2 linked regions of the Ovis aries genome follow. The protein of the gene in region 1 purifies or fractionates together with the protein of each later gene. This does not show direct contact. Links are inferred from orthologs where the notes say so. Each region holds a gene or a part of one and is shown in the gene's direction. Other genes may lie near its edges.

Evidence for each region. Proteins that work in one complex are often made in the same cells at the same time.
Region 2: the proteins of ZMYM2 (region 1) and PML purify together in Homo sapiens (affinity purification with western blotting; 3 studies listed by BioGRID, with this or other methods). This does not show direct contact. The link is inferred for Ovis aries from reciprocal best matches to the Homo sapiens genes ZMYM2 and PML.

The regions. Positions count from the first base shown.
Region 1 is NC_056063.1:36,407,936-36,411,581, reverse strand, and holds part of ZMYM2 (zinc finger MYM-type protein 2), read left to right. Parts: coding exon 1-678; intron 679-1,174; coding exon of another isoform or gene 1,175-1,200; exon of another isoform or gene 1,201-3,646. UniProt on the Homo sapiens protein: Involved in the negative regulation of transcription.
Region 2 is NC_056071.1:32,280,458-32,284,660, reverse strand, and holds the start of PML (protein PML), read left to right. Parts: upstream 1-1,291; 5' UTR 1,292-1,370; coding exon 1,371-1,505; intron 1,506-3,733; coding exon 3,734-4,200; intron 4,201-4,203.

The DNA.
Region 1 (3,646 bases):
ATGATGATGTTGTGTTTATCGAACCAGTACAACCACCTCCTCCTTGTGCACCAGTGGTGGCTGATCAAAGAACCATAACATTTACATTATCAAAAAATGAAGAGATGCCAGGAAATGATTCCAAAATTCTTCCTTCCTCAAAAGAATTGGCTTCTCAGAAGGGGAGTGTAAGTGAGACGATCGTCATTGATGATGAGGAGGATATGGAAACAAATCAAGGGCAAGAGAAAAATTCCTCCAATTTTATTGAACGGAGACCATCTGAGTCTAAAAACAGAAACAATGATGTGGATTTCTCCCCTTCCAGTTTTTCAAGAAGTAAGGTAAATGCAGGAATGGGTAATAGTGGTATCACCACAGAACCAGACTCTGAGATTCAGATCGCTAACGTTACGACCTTAGAAACAGGCGTCGGCTCTGTGAGTGATGGCCAGTTAGAACACACTGACGGGAGAGACATGAACCTGATGATCACACACGTAACATCTCTGCAGAATGCCAGCTTGGGAGATGTCTCTAATGGACTGCAGTCAAGTAATTTTGGTGTTAATATGCAAACATACACCCCGTCTTTAACTTCACAGACCAAGACTGCAGTAGGACCTTTCAATCCTGGTAGAATGAATGTGGCAGGAGATGCATTTCAGAATGGAGAGTCTGCAGCTCATCACAACCCTGGTAAGCAGTGAGGGTCCTCTCCCACTCCCCCTTTAGGGGTTGTTTACAGGCAGGTTCTTCTTTCATTGTCCTAATTGGTGCTACTTTGGTTAGTTTACTCATGTAAGGTGTGTTAATTCTATTGACTTTGAAGTTTCAAATTTTAACTAATAAGAGATGTAAACTATGTATGTAATATTTCTCTGTAGAGTATTAGAAAATTAATCAGAACAAAATACTCTTTATATTTACTATGCTCAAATCTAATAATTTGGCATCCTGTTTGTCATGTACTCATTTTATGCTCTTGTGTTTTTAATGGTATGGTTTTAATGTGCAAATAGAGAATGAAAAGATACTTAGTACATGTGAGGAACAATATAATGTATAGTTGCATTTAGATTTGTGTTTAATTTTGACTGCCTGTCTGATTTTAATTTTTACTTTTTAGCACTAATTTTTTTTTAATATGTAAAGATTGGTAAATTTCTTGACTATTTGAAAATACTTTCTGCAGGCAGCTTTACTCTGTGGAAGCTGTGAGAAGAGTTCTGTGGCTTTTCCTGACCATGTGAGGCCTGCCTGTCTCTCGTGTACCTTCTCTTCTTAGGCTTCATCATTTTAAGCTCGTTAGCAACTTTATCAGCCTAGGATTGTGGGGAATAATAAGAAATGACTGAAACCGAGGCTGTGTAGAATGTTTTGTGAAATGCTAGTTGTTTTTCTTACTTATTCTTTTCGGTTATGATAGTAATGTCTAATTACTGAAGAATATTTGGAAAATCCATAATTAAAAAATAGGGGGGAGAAACCCATATGAGGTGATTAACTGAAGGTTACCTACCACTGTTGATAATGGTTTGAGTGGCTGGTTCTCATTCTTTCTCCTTTGTATTTCTTAACTTGTTTGAGTGCACTTCTTCATAATGTTCCTTCTTGTTTTCCCTCCATGTAATGTGGCTCTGTATTTTTTCATAACACTAAAATTGTTTATACACGGAAGTTGTAATGACTGCACATTGGATTTTGTTATACCAGTCGCCATATTTGGCTTTTACACCATTTTCCTTTTTTGCTGTTGTTGGTATATGATGAACTTTTTTCCCCTCAAATTTCTGATGATTTCTTAGCATTTACTCCTAGAAGTAAAGTTACTGGATCACAGAGTGTCACTGCTTCCATCTGTACAAAGATCATTGGTTATAAAAAGGTTCTGGTTTATAGTGATTTTGAAAAAAGTATGTTTCTTAATACTCAGTTTTGAAAAATTCTAATGTCTCCCAAGACCATTTCCCCTTGTATGTATTTACATATATTTGTTGGTAGGTCATTGATGTGTATATGTGTATGTGAACTTGTGAGAGCATTTTTAAGTTGTGGAAATAGTTTGTCATGCTGCCTTCTGGAAAGGTTTTACCAATTTAAATGGCTATCAGCTGTATATTAGAATATCTTTCTTTCTGGCTCACATAAAAGTTTAAGACATGATAATAGTCAAATTAGTTTCAAACAGCTATTTGTCTCTCATAATTTTAAATATATTAAAAATGTATGAAAAAGAACATAGTGTGCAATCTTTACTGTTGAGGATGGTACATTTAATTGTAACCTGGGATTGCAGGATAGGTCTAGCTTTGGACACTTTCCCTTCCTCCCACTCCTTTAAATAAACAGTAGATCTTTTAACTTTTGACCATATCAAGAGTATATGTTTGATTTTGTTAATTCTCTATTGAGTTCAATTCCAGTTTTTAGTATTTAAATGACTCTTCAGTTCAGTTCAGTCACTCAGTCATGTCCAACTCTTTGCGACCCCATGAATCACAGCACGCCAGGCCTCCTTGTCCATCACCAACTCCTGGAGTTCACTCAGACTCATGTCCATCGAGTCGGTGATGCCACCCAGCCATCTCATCCTCTGTCGTCCCCTTCTCCTCCTGCCCCCAATCCCTCCCAGCATCAGAGTCGTTTCCAATGAGTCAACTCTTCGGATGATGTGACCAAACTACTGGAGTTTCAGCTTTAGCATCATTCCTTCCAAAGAACACCCAGGGCTGATCTCCTTCAGAATGGACTGGTTGGATCTCCTTGCAGTCCAAGGGACTCTCAAGAGTCTTCTCCAACACCACAGTTCAAAAGCATCAATTCTTCGGCGCTCAGCTTTCTTCACAGTCCAACTCTCACATCCATACATGACCACTGGAGAAACCATAGCTTTGACTAGATGGACCTTTGTTGGCAAAGTAATGTCTCTGCTTTTGAATATGTTATCTAGGTTGGTCATAACTTTTCTTCCAAGGAGTAAGCGTTTTTTAATATCATGGCGGCAGTCGCCATCTGCAGTGGTTTTGGAGCCCCAAATAATAAAGTCTGACACTGTTTCCCCATCTATTTCCCATGAAGTGATGGGACCAGATGCCATGATCTTCGTTTTCTGAATGTTGAGCTTTAAGTCAACTTTTTCACTCTCCTCTTTCACTTTCATCAAGAGGCTTTTAGTTCCTCTTCACTTCCTGCCATAAGGGTGGTGTCATCTACATATCTGAGGTTATTGATCTTTCTCCTGGCAATCTAGATTCCAGCTTGTGTTTCTTCCAGTCCAGCGTTTCTCATGATGTACTCTGCATATAAGTTAAGTAAGCAGGGTGACAGTATACAGCCTTGACATCCTCCTTTTCCTATTTGGAACCAGTCTGTTGTTCCATGTCTAGTTCTAACTGTTGCCTCCTGAAATGGACTGGAATGGGTGAATTTAACTCAGATGACCATTATATCTACTACTATGGGCAGGAATCCCTTAGAAGAAATGGAGTAGCCATCATGGTCAACAAGAGTCCGAAATGCAGTACTTGGATGCAATCTCAAAATGACAGAATGATCTCTGTTCGTTTCCAAGGCAAACCATTCAATATCACAGTAATCCAAGTCTGTGCCCCAGCCAGTAACACTGAAGAAGGTGAAGTTGAACAAGCGTATGAAGACCTCCAAG
Region 2 (4,203 bases), on another chromosome or scaffold:
TCTAATCTGTCCCAAGCTGGAACTGAACACAAAATGGGTCCATGGGAGTCATCACAATGAATGGAATGCACTGAGGTTTGAAGACAGGGGCACTGGCCCAGTGATGCCACCTGGAGCTGTGCCTTCTCCCCTCACCAGCTGAGAGCTGGGGCTTCTCCTTTGACCCATTGCTAAGTTGCTGTCTCCTCATTTTTCTCATACCTGCCCACCAGCTCTCCCCATTCCCTACTGCCTCAGATCCACCAGCCCTTTCTGCTGTCACATCAGGCATCATCCTGATGCCGTCATCTCCACTCAGCGTCCTCCCAGTCTGACTCGGGTCCCTCCTCTCATCCCACAGCCACTGTCCCAGACCACCTGGCCCTAGGTTGTCAGAGAGACTGTCCCAATATACACAATGGACATGGTTGCTTGTTTTCAAACCCTTCACCAACTCTCTGTGGTCCATAGCCCTGGTCCATCTCCTTAGCCTCATCTTGCCCAGCCCATCTTGGTCTGACATCATGCATGGGTCCCCTCTTGAATCTGAAAATAACCAAAATGAGTTGCTTGTTTCAAAACTAGTTTCGAAACAGCTTCTGTTTCAAACCTCCATGGCTTTGCATATGCTGTTCTCTCGGTCTTAAGTGTTGCCCACCCATCCCCAGCCTCTGAATCCCTGGCAAATTCCCACCATCACTTCAAATCCCAGCTGAGTGATCTCCTGTCCAGCCAGTCTCAACACTGTGAAAATCTCCCTTTGGGGGACTGCTCCTGCATTAGATCTGGGGTGGTTCAGACGCTAAAGAATCTGCTTGCAGTGCAGGAGACCTGGGTTCCATCCCTGGGTAGGGAAGATCCCCTTTAGAAGGGAATGGCTACCCACTCCAGTATTCTTGCCTGGAGAATCCCATGGACAGAGGAGCCTAGAAGACGACAGTCCATGGGGTCCCAAAGAGTCGGACACGACTAGAAGACTAACACTTTCCCTTTTTTTCCCAAAGTAGGAGCCACGCGTGGCCCGGCTGTGTGGCTCTTGCTCCCAGCTGAGGGCTGGCACGAAGCTGTGCCAATGTGAGCTGAATGAAAGATTCCAAGCCGAGGGCAGGGACGGCCTCCATTCTGCACAAACATCAGTTCTGCCGCTGTCCTGCGTGTGACTGCTCTTCTCTCCCTCCTCGCCGCTCTGGGCGTGTCTTCAGGACCGTGGGCCAGCCTCTCCGACCCTAGAACCGCCGGTAGCTAGTGTTTCACTTCCTCTGGGAGGTGGGCCCTGAGCTGGCACCTCCCCTTTAGGGCTGCTCGGGAGCTCAGTGTTCTGGCGCCTTCCTCGGGTTCAGTTTCTCCGCTCTCGAAGAGCGAAACTGAGAATCGAAACTGCGCTGGATTCCATGCAGCAGGATCCGGAACCTGCCGGATCTCCGGGGCCCCAGCAGGACCCCGCACTGCCCCACTCCCCCAGCATGCCTCCCCCGGAGGCACTCTCCGAAGGCCACCAGTCCAGCCATAGCGACAGCCCCACAGAGGTACTACTGCGTTTGGGAGATGGGGTTGGGGCTTTGTTAATTACGTATGGTCGGTGGAATAGAGGGACTGGGGAACTTGACCAAGTACCTTGAAAAATGACGTAAAGAAGGGAGACCAGGTGCGAGGGTCCTGATCTTCTCGGCTGGGTTAGGGGTCGTGGAAAGTAGAAAAGGGGGCCAGCATGAGTTTGAGGGGAGAGGTCTCTCTGGGTTGCGATTCTCCACGAGCAGCGGGGTGATGCTAAGAGTGAGTGGCACCCCGGACCAGACTCTTCCGCCCAAGTCTCTTCCGCCCAAGCTGGCGACATGCCTCTTATCCCCTACCTCAGATGAAGGACCACCTGTTAAGGAAAATGGAAGTAATAGTCTTATCGCACCCGCCTGGCAGACCCGGACAAGCTCCAGGTGTGGACAAGCCAGAATCTTTGTCCTCAGATCAGAAAGTGGGAAAGAGGTGTCTTGGCTAAGGCCCAGGATTCCTGTGGTGTCTCCTCTAGGAAGCTACTTGGATCCTTTTCCTGGAGCACCGTGCTCCCTCAACCCCCATCCTGAGGAGTTTTTTAAGGGTTTACTGGTCTTTTCCTGCACAAACTCCCCACCCCCAAAGGAAGTGCTTAGATCACTTGCTCTGTTTTCTTCCAGCCCCTTTTTACTCTCCTTCATGAAAGTACAAATAATATTGCATTAACTTTTATTTGTTGCATTATAACACCTAGGAATAATATTTACCATACTAGTTAACATGTTCGAGTATTTCTCACGTGCCAGGTACTGTATTATGTTACCTATGTTTTATCTGTTTCTAGGTGTACAATTCAGTGGCATTAAATGCATTCCACAATGTAACCATCACCACAGTCAATTTTCAGAATTTTTTCATTGAAACAAAAATCTGTACCCTTTAAGCTGCTCATTCTCCTCTTCCCCCTGGCTGCTGCTGCTAAGTCGCTTCAGTCATGTCCGACTCTGTGACCCCATAGATGGCAGCCCACCAGGCTCCCCTGTCCCTGGGATTCTCCAGGCAAGAACACTGGAGTGGGTTGCCATTTCCTTCTCCAATGCATGAAAGAGAAAAGTGAAAGTGAAGTCGCTCGGTCGTGTCCTACTCTTAGTGGCCCCATAGACTGCAGCCTACCAGGCTCCTCCGTCCATGGAATTTTCCAGGCAAGAGTACTGGAGTGGGGTGCCATTGCCTTCTCCCTCTTCCCCCTAGCTGCTGGTAACCTCTAATCTACTTTCTGTCTCTGCATTTGCCTAGTCTAGATATTTTATATAAGTGGAATGCTACAGTATTTGTCTCTGTGTTTGGCTGGTTTTACTTAACATGATGTCTTCAAGGTATTTTCATGTTGTAGCATGTATCAGAATGTCCTTTTTAAGGCCAAATAACATTCCATTGTATGTATATACTACATTTTGTTTATCCATTCATTTGTTGATGGACACTTCAGTTGTTTCCACTCCTTGGCTACTGTGACTAATGCTGTGTACAGAATAATGGATGTACAAGCATCTGGATCCTGTTTTCTGTTCTTTTGGGTATATAGCTGGGTGTAGAATTGCTGGGTCCTATGGTAGTTCTATGTTTAAGTTTTTGAGGAACCATCAAAGTGCAGTAAGCATTTTTTGTGAGGTTATATGACACACATTTAATGAATCTCCTTTTTTAAAGTCCTGTGAAGGCAGGGGTTTGTCCTGGAATCAGGGGTCCCCAAGTTCCAGGCCACGGACTGTCACTTGCCCTGGCCTATTAGGAACCGGGCTTACAGTGGCAAGCAGCCAGCAAGAGAGCAAAACGTCATCTGTATTTACAGCCGCTCTCATCACTTGCACTACCGAATTTTCACAGTGGAAACAGAAATAAAGTGCACAATAAATATAATGCATTTAAATCATCCCTACATCACCCCACCCATAGAAAAACTGTCTTTCAGGAAACGGTAACCTAGTCCCCAAAGGGTTGGGGACTGCTGCTATACATCCGTGTATCTTGGGGCCTGGTACTGTGTCTTATGAGAAACGGATGCTCAGTAAATCATGGAGTGAGCGTGAGAAGGCCTAAGTCAATGGAGGACTGGGATACTGATAAGGCTGGGTTTTTGTGTCATCCGTTGACAGCTTGGTATGAAACAGGAAGTGCCACTCTCAGCGTGCAGCCACAGGGTGGGTGTCCGGTTGGGTGGGGCTTCCTGGGACTTCACGTCTCACCTCCCTCCCTGATTCCCCAGCAAGCCACGGAGGAAGAGTTCCAGTTCTTGCGCTGCCAGGGCTGCCGGGCAGAAGCTAAGTGCCCCAAGCTGCTGCCTTGTCTGCATACGCTGTGCTCAGGATGCCTGGAGGAGTCCGGCATACAGTGCCCCGTCTGCCAGGCTCCCTGGCCCTCAGGTGCCGGCGCGCAGGCCCTGGACAACGTCTTCTTCGAGAGCCTGCAGCGGCGGCTGTCGGTGTACCAGCAGATCGCACGCGAGCAGGCGTTTTGCACCCGCTGCAAAGAGCTGGCCCACTACTGGTGCTTCGAGTGTGAGCAGCTCATCTGCGCCAAGTGCTTCGAGGCGCACCAGTGGTTCCTCAAGCACGAGGCCCGGCCGCTGGCGGAGCTCCGCAGCCAGTCGGTGCGGGAGTTTCTGGACGGCACCCGCAAGTCCAACAACATCTTCTGCTCCAACCCCAACCACCGCAGCCCTATGCTGACCAGGTG